Linked DNA regions of Diceros bicornis minor. The protein of the gene in region 1 purifies or fractionates together with the protein of each later gene. This does not show direct contact. Links are inferred from orthologs where the notes say so. Each region holds a gene or a part of one and is shown in the gene's direction. Other genes may lie near its edges.

Region 1 (7,705 bases):
CATGCGTATTACTTGTTCAATTACAAACACAAAACCAGCTGATGAAACAAGTTTACTGGGCAATCAACTCATGTTATTCCCATTTAGAAGTACTAATGTGTTGTTTCCTGAAGATTTCCTATACTTTATTATTCATCCGTCCATTCAGCAGCTTTTCAAAAAACTTATTTTTTTGACAAGTAAAAATTATATATATTTAAGGTGTATAATGTGATGTTTTGATATATGTATACAGTGTGAAATGATTACCACAATCAAACTAATTAACATATCTATCACCTCCCATAGTTACCATTTTTTTGTGTGGTGAGAACACTTGAGACCTACAATCTTAGCAAATTTCATGTATACAATACATTATTATTGACTATAGTCATCATGCTGTACATTAGGTATCTAGAACTTATTCAACTTATAACTGAAATTTTGAACCCTTTGATCAATATCTCCCCTTTTCCCCAAACGCACAGCCTCTAGTAACCACCATTCTACTCTCTGTTACTATAAGGTTGACTTAAATTTTTTTTTTTTAGATTCCACATATTAGTGAGATCATGCAATATTTGTCATTCTGTGTCTGGCTTATTTCACTTAGCATAATGTTTTCCAGATTCATCCATGTTGTTGCAAATGGTAGGACTTCCTTCTTTTTACAGGCTGAATAATATTCCATATATAGATATATATCTATATATCTATACATCACATTTTCTTTATCCATTCATCTGTCGATGAACACAAGCTGTTTCCATATCTTGGCTACTGCGAATAAGGCTGCAATGAACAGGGGACTGCAGATATCTCTTCAAGATAGTGATTTTATTTGCTTTGAATATATACCCAGAAGTAGGATTTCAGTGGATATTTTGAGTGCCTATTATGTGCCAGGCACCGAATGATGTATTGGGAATATAACGATGAATAATATAGGCACAGTCCTTGCCTTTGTGGAACTTACCTTCTAGGAAGATGGCAGATATGAAACAAGTAATTGCATAAGTGATTTTATATTTTCAATTATGAAAAGTTCAACAAAGGAGTAGTACAGGGTGATAGGAGACCTAAGGTAGACTGAGGACTCAATGCAGACAGCAGAGTATGTGATGTTTTGAACGAACTGCAACATGAGTAGGATTAAGCTAGGAGAAAGGGGGAAGAAGGATAAAAGTGCACCTCAGGCACACGGAAGAGCATTTCTGAAGTCCCTGAAGCAGGAAGGAGCATGGGGTATTAGAGGAAACGAAGGAGAGCCAATATGGCTGGAGCTTAGAGAGAGAAGGGTGAGAGGTATGAGATGAGACTGCAGAGTTCAGCAGGGTCTTTTAGACCATGTTTAAAATTTTGGAGTATATTTTAGGAGCAATGGGAAATCACGAAGGCTTTAGGTAGAGGAGGACATGATAAGATTTGAATTTTTAAAAGTTTACCTGCAGTGTGGAGAGCGGACTGGAGAGAAGCAAGCATGAATAAGGGCTCTAGCTGAGACCTCCTGTCGTAGTCTAGGTAAGAGATTATGGGGCAGTCTAGATTGAGAAGTAGATATATTTACAATATAGCTTTGAGATAAATCTGCAAGAGTTGCTGATTAATTGGCTTAAAGGTGAAATAGAGTGATATATCAAGGATAATTTTCTTAAGTTTTTGACTTGAGCTAACTGACTAGAAAGTGGTACCATTTCCAAGGTAAATAACATTGGAAAAAGAGGTTTGGGAGCGGGGTTGAACTGTTCAGGAGTTCAGTATTCAACACGTTCAGAAGAGATGTTGAGTAAGGGGTTGTGTATATGGATCTGGAACTCAAAGGAAAGGCCAGGGATAGAGACTATTAAATTACTGGTTTGTAAACGATGATACATCAGATCCCACAGTTGAGTAAACTTCTAAATACAAGGTAAATGTTCATAGAATCGTGGTTTTTCAACTCAGGAAATCAAGTACAAAATTAGTGTCACAGTGATTGAATAGGGTAGTATATTTGTAGGTATCCATCATCTTATTGTACTGTGACTTATCCAAATAAAATATTTCAGTTCTCAAAAATAGATGTCCTTAGAATAATAGAATATATAGAAATTAAGTTGTTTTGCTTTATGATATTTTACTGATATTATCAACTCCTATATTTATGTTTACTTTGCAAAAAATCTACAAAAATACATTTGAAAGAAAAGGTATTTTGAGCATTTTCTCCATGCAGAGGCTTTAAATTTTTCTAATGTAATAATCTTTTCCATGCCCAGCGAGTGTGTGATAACTTTAGAGAAAGGAAGCTAAATATGGGCTGGCAATTTTATCTTTCTGAGAGTTGTGCTTTCCAGCCTCAGAAAAAAGGGAATTCAAATTTGGGGCAAAACATATTGGAAAATTAGTACTACGGAGTAATCACTTGTTTATTTTTGTTTTTTACTTCACTAGATATAAACTTCATGAAGACAGAGATTTTTGTCTTTTAGGTTCATTCCTGTAATCCCAGTGTCTAAATCAGTGCCTTGCACATAGTAGGTATTCAATAAATATTTGAGGAAAATTGAATGAATTTAATGAGTTGTGTCTTCACAGTGTGATTGCATTTGTTAGAAAATTTCTGAATCCATAGAAAGTTAGATATACTCATATCGAAAAGGATATATATATATATACACGTACACATGTATACACATATATCTCCAAAATAAGATAGAAATACTTTTATTTATCATGCTTCTAACCACCCATCTATGGCTTCTCTCTGTTAGAGGAGATTTTGGAAACTTTCTTGTGTCTACCTTGGGAAATCTTTAATTTCCATTTTCACTGGTGGTGTTAAGAGTCTCACAGATAAGATCTATTTCACTTTTGATAATACTCAAAACTTTCTTTTCATATCAAAGCAAATGGCAGAGTGGTTTACTGAACAATATATTACACTTCTCAGAGGAATCTCTTTTACACAAAATATTCATCAGAGGACCATATCACAAGAGAATTGTTCAATATAACAAGATAATCTATAAAAGAAATTAATGAAACATGCACAATGTTGCTAATGATTATAGCAAAATGCAATGAAATGAGGCAAAAAAAACCCATTAAAATACAATTTTAAGAATTTTCATGGAACTTCAGCAAAGTAACAAACATGCATTGAGCATCTTCAGAATATAAGATACCTCATAGTAGTTGGCAGACATCACGGTGAAGACTTAAGTCCCTGTCTCCATAGTACTTACCATGTATTAGAGAAGTCAGAACTAAGCTCAGTTCAGCAAACACTTATTTAATCCCTACTCTGCACCAGGTTTATGTTAGATGCAGGGGGTAAAAAGATAAATAAGGCACAGTCCTTATCATACAGGGGCTTATAATTTAGAACGCTGTATATCTGGATGTGTATTTTTGTGAGTATGTCTGGGGATATGTGTACTGTATAGGAACCAAGATAAACGCAAATAATTTCAGTGTAATATGGCAGTTTATGACAGAGTGGTAGCACTACATAGAGAAATTTAACCCAATATAGGGAGGAGATAAAAGGAGGAGGTGGTGGAAGCCGAGCTGAATCTCGGGGATAAATGTTAGCTAGAGAATGGGAAGATTATTCCATGCTGAAGGAACAACAGTGTGACTGGGGGACCACAAACAGCTCAGAGGACAGGAGGTGTGAGGGAAGGTCCACTACTGCACTCTCTCTCTGAATTATTTTGAAACTCTTGCAAAATAACTACACAATGAATTTCTGGGATCAAAAAAGTACTCTTCCTCACTCCCACGCACCCTTCCCTTCTTTTTTGCTTTGGTATTGCCAGACAGCAAAGCATTTTAAATGACGGGGGGTGGTGGGGGGAGGGGGTGGGAGGAGGCCGACCTTGAAAATACTTATGAGAGCTATGTTAGCTGCTTCGCATAGACAATCTAAGCCCCTTCATCAAATGCAATCAGTTTAATATAAAGGCCATTTTACCTTGATTATTTCTGCGGTGGCTTATCAGGAGAATCTTGTACGGACTTCTCGTATATGTATAGAAAACCAGATTCAGAATCAATAAACGCTTATCAAGCAAATACTATGCTTTCATATGTTTTTCCCTCCTGTAAAGCAAGGCTAATTTTGCAAATATATATTGCCAGCGTGGCTGTTTGGACTAACTAGAACAAATACAGACACGGCAAGGGTTCCATTCTGGCGAAACTAGGGCGAGAGGTTTTTTTGTGAGTTTTCACTGGGGAGACACACAGACAAAAAAAGTACGGGATATATTTTGAAAGTATTGTGTGAAAAATTACGCCTCGCGGGCCAAAAAGAAAGTACAGACACACTGGGGGAAACAGTCTCCAGGCTGGAATGAAAATTTCCTTTGTTCACAGAGCAATCCTCTTTCAATTTCACTCCGCCCTCCGTGTCTCTTAGCAATTCTTGCTTCATCATTGTCAAGGGGTATCCAGGTCTTCCCACATTCATCGGAGTAAAAATCTACATCTTTTTTCTACTCCAAACCTCCAAGCTAAATGTGCTACTGCACTCAGCCTGGAAAATGAATCGAGCTTTTAATATTCGCCTAAACATTTCAAATATAATGCTGTAGCCGCCTACCTGGACCTGCCACCCAGGAACTACAATACCCAGAATGCACTGTTTTCCCTTCCGCCTTCTACCAAAGCAATGCCTAATTTGATCTCATTTCCACAAGCAATAGTCACATGACACGTTTCCTGTCAAGATGGCGGATAATCTCCCTTCGGAGTTTGATGTGATCGTAATAGGGACGGGTATGTGTGGCTCTGGTACTCCCCGGACAAAGTGTAGGAAGTCTATCTCGTTCCTACCTTCTCTGTCAGTGGCGAGGATTGGCGAGAAATGCCGAGGATCGAGTATAGGAGGGAGGACGGAAAGGAAGTGAGGTAGTCTGGAATCAGCGCGGGACTTTGCAGCTCCAGGGAGGGGCTTGGACCCGCGGTGCTTAGCGCCGTTTGAGTAGGGGTCGATCTGGTCGATGCCGATTGCTGAGGTTGGTTGCTGCGGGTGATTCCTGTAATTTACTTAGAGGGAGGTGGGTTTGCAGTGTCATGAGAATGGAGGGTCGGGATTATATCAGTGGAGACGCCTTTGGCATGACATTATGATTCCCTCCTTGTTGATTTCAAGGTGCTATTCCCGATCAGTTTGTCTCGCCATTGCATAGGAATTTTTCATATAGTTATATAATCCTAGGGTGCAGTGCAGCTCAGATACAGCTTAATCCTCAGTTTTCAGAGAAAGATGCTCAGTTGTTGCCCTTGTGCGTGTTAATTCACTGGGGTGAGGAAACGGATTCTTTTCTATTGTGTTGAGAAGCTTAGGGAATTGTATTTTGTTGAGGTAGCCATTATTCCTGCTTTATGGTGCTGAAAGAAGGCATTTTGCCTTCTACCACCCACGTGTCTACCCACAACGAAATGAGCTGAGAACAAGCTGCTGTTAGTTCCAGTTCAGGTGTGTGACCTTATCTTTCCCTTGTTTTCCCATCGTTTATTTTCCATGTTTTGGGTGGTGTCAGAAACCCCCAGCAATTTCTAGTTGACAAATTCCACGTACAACTCGTGGCAGAAGACATTTGGCAGCAATTGGTATTTTGTTTTTCTTAACAGTGTAGAGTGGATTTTAGATGGGATGAAATAGGTTGTTGGGTGGAGTTTTCTCCTGTCTGCAGAATGTGGTAGGCCGGAGAGGGTCTGGTGGATGAGACCCTGACCATTGTGTTCATGAGTTTAGTTCGTTGTCCTCTCAAACAGTAGGAGCAGCCATGTTACCAGGGCGGGAGTAAAAATAATAGCTACCTGTTTGAATGCTTATTGTTTGCTAATCTATGTGCTAAGCACTCTACAAGCCGTATGTAATCCTCACAACAGCGTTGTTAGAGTAGGTATTCTCTACACTTTACAGAAAAGGAAAAGGGAGCTTAGAAATGTTGCAGTTTGCTCAAGATCACACAGCTGGTAAATTTCCAAAGGCCCATTCCATTCTAGGAGAAACAGTGGTTTTGACCCTCAGAGTTAACCCATATGAGTAGAAATAATTGGGAAAACTTTGTTCTAGACCATGCTTGGCCATTAACTAGCTGTGTGAATTGCTAGGACTAGGCACTTAATCTCTGAGTCTTAGTTTTCTTGTTTTTGAATATAGGGAGGGTCAACTAGATAGCCTTTTAGATGTTGTCTGACCAAAAATTCTCTTGTTCTGGTTGCACCTGGGTAATTGTTCTCAGAACAGCGAGGACATGTTTATTCCCAACCTGAAAACTGCATGGGTGCAGATAACCTGGCTGTAGCTGCTATATACAGATGTTGGATGAGAGCTGGAAGGAACCAATAGACTATTCTCTTATTTTATCCAGTCTATCCTAAAACTAAGAACAACATCCATTTTAGAATAGTTGTTATACCATACTTGGGATCTATATTATTGCCTTTCTTTTTTATTACCTAGGAATTTGGGGTGTTTTAAAATTTTTTTTGAACCATTGAGACTTTTTTGTTATCTGGATTCAAGTTTTAATTGATGAGTGCTAATTCTTATTATTAAATGCTGTTAATTCTTATAATAAATTTTGCCTTCTGGTTCTGTTCATAATATGGACTACAGCCATTCCATTGGAGTCTGTTATAATAGAGGTAGGAAGATACTGTGAGTGATACAGAAAATGGCTTCAAGAGGCATCTCGTGTATTTGGAAAAAGATTCATTTTAGACTTATTCCAGTGAGAGTAACGTAGTTTCTCAAAGCATGGGAAGAAGTTATTTGAAGTTGATCTTAAAAGTTAAGGTTTTCATATCACTCCATGTTGAACACATTCCGAGTTTATCAAGCACATTGCTTAAATTTATGATATGGAGCTTTGTTTTTAGGTTCGTCACATTGGAAAAATTGGATGAAAGTCATTTCCCAAATAAATGATTCCAATAATTCCAATCATTACTTAATTGGAATTATTTTTAATGTGTTTGGACTATTTCTCTTCTGAAATAGTTTGCTGAAAGTAGCCGTTAAAACGTGTTTGCTTTACTAAATGTACTAACTTGAGTAAATCATAAGAAAAGCAGTGTTTCGTAGATTCAGTTTTACCAACAAAAGCATAATTAATCATGCATGTATCAGAAACATGAAGAAATAGGCTATGAGATGTAATTTTTCTTTTAGCAGATTTAGTTCTAGTTAAAATGTCATCAAGACAGTTGCTTCATCAGTAAAATCTCTGGATAATATTTTAGATCCCTTTGACCTTAATTAATATATTTCTTTTCATTTTTCATAACAAGATTTTCCTGAAGATCATGTTTTGAAGAGATTATGAGAAAATAAAGTTTTGTGTGTCTTTTCTTAGTTAAGCACATTTCCTCTTGATTACAAAATGCAGGAAATCTCTCTCAGACACCCAAAGGCAGAGGAATAAGATAAAGTACTTGAACCATGGAAAATATGGAATAAAATGGAATAAGGAAGGAGGGTCAACTGAGTCTTAAGGGAGAAGACACAAATGGATATGTGATAAGTGTCTACAAAGTGGCCTTCAGTTTGGGTACACAATTGTCATTTTAAAGACATTTTGTCATTTAAAAAGATTTGAATGATAGTTTTGTGGGTTGTAGAGAAGTGTCGTTGGCTTCAGGTTAAAAATAGTCCCAGTAACATAACACATCACCCGAGGTGACTTATCTGGCGACCTGTGTAATCTGCAGCAGAGCCAACAAC
Region 2 (7,725 bases), on another chromosome or scaffold:
ACTCCTGTGCTACTCTAGGTCGCCTGCTGACATGTCTGTCTCACCCATGTGGCCTGTCCTGTCCAATGCTAGCCACTAGCCCCATGTGGTTATTTAAATTTAAATTAAATTAAAAATTCATTTCCTCAATTACACTAGCCACATTTTGAGAGCACACTCAGTAGTCATGTGGGGCTAGTGGCGACCATGCTGGAGGGCGCAGATACTGAACATTTCCACATCACAGAAAGTTCCAGTCTAGCACACCACCGCACTAGACCGTAAGCTCTGGGAAGGAAGAGACTGAATTTCTGGTCCCACACTGTATCCCTGGCACCTCACGTGCTCTCAGGCCCAGCTCTGATGCTAAATAAATATCAACAGATTGAATGAATACACATGCTGCCACACCGTGCCAGGTCCAGAACCAGCTCTGGCATCTGTCTCTTTCTCACTCTTCTACCTCCAGACCATGGCTTCTAGCCAAGCTCTGAGGGGCCCCTACCCAGGGCTCATGGTCTCTTTCCTCCCTCCAAACCATCTCTGGTCCATGACTGGCTCAGGGTCCCAGAGACATTGTAAATGTGTATGTGAGTGCGTGCGTGTGTGTGTGTGTGTGTGTGTGTGTGTGTGTGGAGTGGAAGTACAGAAAGGATTGGCAGGGGAGGAGGTGATTAGCATGAAACGACACCGGGGTTCCAGGCCTCGAGAAGTTCAAGTTCGAGCCTCTGGCAATGGCCACGCTCACCTGTGCGGTGGACAGACACCCAGGCTTTGGTTTGAATTCTGGCTGTGTTTCCTCCCAGCTGTGTGACATTGGGCAAGCAACTTATCCTCTGTGAACCCACTGTATGCATTGTTTCCTCACTGTAAAATATGGATAATAATACCTACCTCATAGAGGTAGTGAGTGCGTTAAATAAGATGTCTGGGGCTCAGTCAGTACTCAATTATTGCTTGTTCCTTTCTCTACATAGGAGGCAGTAAAATCCCTTCCTCAAACATCATTCAGATCATGGCCCTCAGACACCTGCCTGGTTCCCACTTATTCCATACAGGCGGCCAAATATAACTCCTGACAGCTCCTTTTGCCTTAAAGCAAGAGGCTCGTCATTGGTTCCATTGCTCTTATCTCCAAAGGCACCTGGCTCAGCTTCTGTCTGCCAGCCAGCTGAGTCTGTTTGGCTTTCTCTCCCCAACCTCCACGTCATCATTCACGCCTGAAATGCCCTTCCCGCCCTCTTTTTCCAAAACCAGGCCCTTCATTCTCTGAAACAGATTTCTTCATGAGACTCACTTCCTCTCTTAAGCTTGCTTGACTCAGCTTCCCTGGTTTCAAGATTGCTAATCACTGAAAAATATTTCCTGTCTACTTCAGCCTTTATCCCCCGCTCCCTCCTCCCTTAGTGACTATGATGTAAGACTGTTCTTGGGAAATCTACACCTGTGGGAATCTACATTCCCAGGTATCTGGTTGTACATGTGATTGTTATAGAGCAGGAAGCAAGAGCAAGCGGTGACCAAAAAAAAAAAAGCAGTTGGTGAGGTGGGAGGGCTGGACCAGAGCAGCCACAGGTCCCATTTGGCCACTTACTACATGGGTGGCCCTCAGCAAGTTACTGAACCTTTCTGACCCTCAATTTCCTTGTCACAAGATATTGTCACAAAGATCAGAAATAATATTATCATTACTACTATTACTATTTACCTAGCCTTTACTATCCTAAGCACTTTACATAGATTCTTTTATCTCATCTTCACTTCAACCCCGGCAGGTGGGTATTATTATTTTTTCTATGTTACTGTTTAAGCAACTAAGACACAGAGGAAACACAACACAGAGGTTAAGTACCTTACCCCTGGTCACAAAGCTAATAAGTGACAAAGCCAGGATCTGCACACAGGCAGCCAGGCTCCAGAGTCCACGTTCCTAACTACTCTGCTTCCTGCCTCCCACGTGTAATCCTGTGTGTGTGTAAAGCTCCTGACACAGTGCCGGGCACAAAGATAATAAAGCAGTGGTGTCATGCTTTGCTCACTGGGACTGCAGGTACACGAGGCCAGGAAAAGTGTCTCTTTTCCTCTGTACCCTGGTACAGGGCCTAGGAAAGGACAGAATAGAGGGTAGGCACTTTACACACATTTCCAGGGCCCGAGAAAGGTGTGGAAGAACTCTAAAGAATTTAAAGCCATACTTCCTCACCCGGATGTGAGTTATAAACATACACACACCACATGGACACACACGTCTCACAAATACATCACGCACACTCACACATACACATTCACTGGCCACCTTGAACCCCATGAAGGCTCCACCAGGAAACCTTCCTGAGCTGGTCCAGGCCACACGATCTCTCCCACCCCTGAATGCCAACAGCGCTCACTGTTAGGGCCAGCCAAGCCAGCCCTCACTATGTGGTGTTTTGTTTATTCATTCAAATAACTACTAGGAACCAGGGCCAGGTATTGCAGAGGCAAGACCAGAAAAGTGTTGTTTCTGCCCTAAAGGAACTTTGAATCTGATAGGAGATGCTGGCATACCACCCAAGACTTACAGTAGGCACGGGGAAATAAATCCTATCTTTGACAGCACATATGAAGGTCTTTTAAACCAGACTGGGGCATTTTGGAGAACTTCCTGGAGGTGACACTTGAGTTAAATCTTAAAGATGAACAGGAGTTACCCTGGCAAAGGAGGCGTGTGGAGGAAGGAGAGGCAAGAAGTGGGAACAGGTTAACATGTTTGGGAAACTACAAGTTGTTCTATCGGCTGTGATGAAGAGTTTTTAACAGGGACAGGCAGGACATGAGGCCAGAGGGGTAGGCAGGGCCCAAGCGCCAAAAGGCCTGATGTGCTAACCTGAGAGATTCAAGACTGTCCTGAAAAGCTCTCAGGAGCCGCGGAGGGCTTTTAGGCAGAGATGTGACATGATTGAATCTGCATTTTAGAAAGATCAATCCAGCAGCACAAAGGACGAACTGATAATAGAGGGGACAGGGTGTAGATGAGGGAACATTGAAAAGACTTTCAACAACCAGGAGAAGAAATGAGCTTCAATTCTTAGTGCACAGGGAAGGGAGAGGGCATTTAAGAGATAGTAAGGAAAAGTGAGGAGGGAATAGTGCCATTCACTGCAAGAGGAAAAGAAAAAGGCCAAAATTTAGACTGGATAGAAGGGAGACAATGATACCTTTTGACTTTCGGAGTTCAAGGCGTCTCTGGGACACCCAGGAGACAAGAGCTTCTCACATATTGAGGTATATGGGGTAACTATTGGGGTTCAAAACGGATTTGGCTTGAACTAAAAAGCCTGACTTATGGCCTATCAAACATACATTGTACATCTGCTTAATGATTAAAGTAAAGAATACACTTTCTTAAGACAAGAATGCATACTTCCCCTCCTAGGCCCTATTGGTAACGCCTGCATTGGTCCCTTTCCTGACATCACGGTCACGTTGACCTGCTAATTTGCAACTGGATACCTCTTTGAAATTTTGATGAAAACATATCCTGGGTGTGTTTAATGTACGTACTTTGTTCTAAAAAGATATAAGACTGTACTGAAAACCCCACTTCTCCGGAATGCTGTCTAAGGCCTTCCCGGGTTATAATCCTCACTCTGGCTCAAGTAAACTCACCTTATTTCTCTTATCTATAGAATGGTTATCGGTTATTTTGTGTCTATACAGGTGATATCTAACAGGCTTTTGAATATGTGTGGGCATATTTATAAAACATATACAACATATATATGAATATGTGTGTACATATCTATGTGTTCATTATTAAAGCTAGCAAGACATCTGGGCTGGAGATACAAGTTTGAGTGTCATCAGCTTACAGGCAGAAATTAAAACCGTGAGCGTGGGTGAAGTCACCCAGAGAAAGTGTGGGCCAGAAGACTTTTGTGGGCCCTGAGCTCTGGGGAGCTTCAACTCCAAGCAATTGAAGGCTTGCATTTGTGAACGTTCTCCCAGGAACAGCGTGTGAAATGAAAAGAGGATGAGGAAAAGGCCCTGGAGATCACCAACATGTAGGGCAAGAAAAGATGAAGAAAAGAGAAGAGAAGGGCAAAGGTGCACGAGGAGAAGCCAGAACAAGGTGTCAAGTCAAATAAGGCAGTAGCGTCAAATGCCCCAGAAGTCAAGGAAGATAAGGACAAGAAACTCCGTCAGTTAGATTTGGCAACTAGGAGGTGGCCACTCCGGCCAGAGTGAGGTCAATGGAGTGGGGAGGGCGTGGGTTTCCAGCTGTTGGAGAGATCTCTTCAACTAACTTGCACTTGGAGCAGAGAACTGGAATAGCAGCCCCGCAGCCTCCACGCGCGAGCCATACTCGCGCATGCGTACTCGTACACAGCAGAGGGCTAACGGGGACTTCGGGTTTTCGACAGCGCGCGCCGAGACCCCGCGCACGCGCCTCCGGAGCCCGCCTACTCCGCCGCGGGCCTCTCCCCAAGCCTGCAGAGGGCGCTGCACCTCGGAGAGCCGGGGCGTGGCGGCGCTCTAGCCAGCGGCTGGGCTCGGTGGCGGGCGCCGCAGCTCCGCGTCCCCCACGCCTCCTCCCAGCGCAGGTGGGTCCGCCCGCGAGGGGCGGGAGTGTCTGGGAGCCGTGGGGCGGGCGGGTAGCGGCAGCCTCTGGGCGCAGAGTGGTCCCCATCACCCAAGTGCCCCGGCTCGGGTCCGGCCCCAGCGGGTCGGGCTGTGGGCAGGGCCGCACGGGTACAAGTCCCATGCGGGTGGGAGAGCCTCCTCTTAGCCGTGCGGAGCCTGTTCCGGCACCCATTCACACCCCGGGGGGTGGGGGGGGTCTCCGCCGAGGCTCGCGTGGGGCTTCCGGGGGACAGCTGGAGGCGGGGCCGTCGGGGGCGGGGCTCCCATGATTGACACCTCTCTCCCCAGGTTTCCCGGGCTACCGCTGGACCCCTCCCCTGTCCTGAATCCTGAGCCGGCACCATGGTGAGAACCCTGAGCCCAACCCCTCGCCTTGGAATGCCGGTGCCCTCGCCCCGTTTGGCCTTGCCTCGGTTGCACTATATAAACCTGGGACTCCGCAGTGGGGGGTTCGGTGGGTCTGCCCTTGAAAGGCAGCCTGCACCCTTCCAACCCGCCCATCCCTTTAGCACGGGCGCCTGAAGGTGAAGACATCGGAAGAGCAAGCGGAGGCCAAAAGGCTAGAGCGGGAACAGAAGCTGAAGCTATACCAGTCAGCGACCCAGACGGTTTTCCAGAAGGTGGGGCCCTCAGAGGTAGCCCCCTCCCCAGGTGGCCTCCTTAGTATAGCACAGAGGCTGAGAGCTGGGCCTCAGAGTCAGACTGCCTGGATCCATATCTGGGTTCTATCACTTACTAACTTGTATGACCTTGGGCAAGTTACTGAATCTCTCTGGGCCTCAGTCTGCTCATTTGTAAAACGGGGCTAATAATTGCACTTACTGTGTAAGGCTGTTGTGAAAATTAAGTGAGAAAATACATGTAAACCCTTAAAGCACTTTGCATTGTACCTATTGTATAGTATGGGATTCACAGAATATTCGGTAGCTCTGTTTATGTTATTTAGCTCTGCAGTGGGAGAATGTTATGATCTCTGACCCTGCTACCCGTCTTCTCAGCGCCAGGCTGGGGAGCTGGATGAGTCCGTGCTGGAACTGACAAGCCAGATTCTGGGGGCCAACCCTGACTTTGCCACCCTCTGGAACTGTCGACGAGAGGTGCTCCAGCGGCTGGAGGCCCAGAAGTGCGTGGGGTTCAGTGCCCCAGGAAGGCAGCCCTGGCCCTGCCCCTGCCCTGCCTGGGTTCAAGGGTAGAGGAGGAGTGGGGCAGCCAGGGGCAGAGGCAGAGAGCAGTGGAGGGCTGGGTGTAGAAAGGCAGGGACAGCTGAAGGTGGGTGTTGGAGGGCCCTGACCTCCAGTCCCCTCTGGGTGCAGGTCCCCTGAGGAGCTGGCCGCTCTGGTGAAGGCAGAACTGGGCTTCCTGGAGAGCTGCCTGAGGGTGAACCCCAAGTCTTATGGTACTTGGCACCACCGCTGCTGGCTGCTGGGCCGCCTGCCAGAGCCCAACTGGGCCCGGGAGCTGGAACTGTGTGCCCGCTTCCTTGAGGTCGATGAGCGGAACTGTACGTGCCTGTTCTGTCCCCACAGCCCTCAGCTGCCCCACATCAGTAAGGCCCAGAGTGGGGAGGGATGGCCAGGATAGGCCCACTGAACTGGTGGCAGAAGGGATGGTAGAGCCAAATGCATCCTCCATGGAGTGCATAGGGGTGGAACGCTAGGGGTACCAGCCAGGGAGCTCCCCCTGCCCTGCTTCTGAGATGTGCTGTCACCCCTCCCCCCCAGTTCACTGCTGGGACTACCGGCGGTTTGTGGCTGCACAGGCAGCTGTGCCCCCTGCCGAGGAGCTAGCCTTCACTGACAGCCTCATCACCCGAAACTTCTCCAACTACTCCTCCTGGCATTACCGTTCCTGCCTCTTGCCCCAGCTGCACCCCCAGCCAGACTGTGGACCGCAGGGGCGCCTCCCCGAGGATGTTCTGCTCAAAGGTAAGCAGAGTCAGGGGTGCTGGGGATGACTCTGTAGCCCATCCTCCAGCCCTGAGGCCTAGCTCTGTTCCTGAACCTGCCTCTTGGGTTTATTGAACACCTACTTCATGCCTGGCTCTGGCGGTGCATAAGATTCAGCCCCTGGCTGCAGAGAGCATAAGTGTCCAATGGGGAAGATAAAACTGATGTATGCAGCCCCTGTGCAAGGCCAGCGTATACCTGAGCCTGAGGGCTGGAAGTGCTCCAAGGACAGGGTGGGATGTCCTGACCACAGCCCCGTGCCTCCTTGGCCCCTGCAGAGCTGGAGCTGGTGCAGAACGCCTTCTTCACTGACCCCAATGATCAGAGTGCCTGGTTCTACCACCGGTGGCTCCTGGGACGAGGTGAGCAATGGAGGAGGAGGCTGGGTGTTTAGGGCTTGGAAGGAATGGAAGAGTATTTACGGAGACCTGAGGCTGTGTCTTCCCCCAGCTGACTCCCAGGATGCCCTGCGCTGCCTGCACGTGAGCCGGGACGAGGCTTGTCTGACTGTCTCCTTCTCTCGGCCCCTCCTAGTGAGTCCTGCAGCTTTTGCTGGAGAGCATCCTGGATTGTGGGCCTGGTGCTGTTGGGCTGATGGGTCTCTCTTTGTCCCCTGTGCCAGGTGGGCTCCAGGATGGAGACCTTGCTGCTTATGGTGGATGAGTCGCCCCTGGCTGTGGAATGGAGGACCCCAGATGGCAGGAACCAGGCCAGCCATGTCTGGGTATCCTAGGATTGGTGGGGCATTGTGGGGGGCTGGGGCAGGGCTGGGGTGGGACAGTCAGAAAATGGTGAGGCCCGGGGTGTTTCCTTGACCCTGTGCTCCCAGCTCTGTGACCTTCCCGCTGCCTCTCTCAACGACCAGCTGCCCCAGCATACATTTCATGTCATTTGGACAGCAGGCGATGCCCAGAAGGAGTGTGTGCTTTTAAAAGGTGATGCGACCTGCACTCTGCACCCCTTGCAGCAGCCCCCCTCCCTCCCCTCCTCTCATGGCGTCCCCTCCCCCCACCTCCTCTTTCTCTCAGGCCGCCAGGAGGCCTGGTGCCGGGACTCGGCCACAGACGAGCAGCTCTTCAGGTGATGACAGGGAAGCACACGGACAAGGAGAAGAGCTCTGGGCGTCAGGCATCTGGGGCGGGAGGCTGGGAGCTTGGACAGAAAGTCTCAGGCTGGACAC

Evidence for each region. The genes of interacting proteins can lie anywhere in the genome.
Region 2: the proteins of CHM (region 1) and RABGGTA purify together in Homo sapiens (co-immunoprecipitation; 4 studies listed by BioGRID and IntAct, counting the BioPlex papers as one, with this or other methods). This does not show direct contact. The link is inferred for Diceros bicornis minor from reciprocal best matches to the Homo sapiens genes CHM and RABGGTA.

Annotation. Positions count from the first base shown.
Region 1 is NC_080781.1:78,471,913-78,479,617, reverse strand, and holds the start of CHM (rab proteins geranylgeranyltransferase component A 1), read left to right. Parts: upstream 1-4,694; 5' UTR 4,695-4,697; coding exon 4,698-4,746; intron 4,747-7,705. UniProt on the Homo sapiens protein: Substrate-binding subunit of the Rab geranylgeranyltransferase (GGTase) complex.
Region 2 is NC_080744.1:23,742,763-23,750,487, forward strand, and holds the start of RABGGTA (geranylgeranyl transferase type-2 subunit alpha), read left to right. Parts: upstream 1-4,637; 5' UTR 4,638-4,707; intron 4,708-4,887; 5' UTR 4,888-4,941; coding exon 4,942-4,944; intron 4,945-5,108; coding exon 5,109-5,219; intron 5,220-5,597; coding exon 5,598-5,722; intron 5,723-5,912; coding exon 5,913-6,100; intron 6,101-6,320; coding exon 6,321-6,524; intron 6,525-6,823; coding exon 6,824-6,907; intron 6,908-6,995; coding exon 6,996-7,078; intron 7,079-7,167; coding exon 7,168-7,269; intron 7,270-7,374; coding exon 7,375-7,480; intron 7,481-7,573; coding exon 7,574-7,625; intron 7,626-7,725. UniProt on the Homo sapiens protein: Catalyzes the transfer of a geranylgeranyl moiety from geranylgeranyl diphosphate to both cysteines of Rab proteins with the C-terminal sequence -XXCC, -XCXC and -CCXX, such as RAB1A, RAB3A, RAB5A and RAB7A.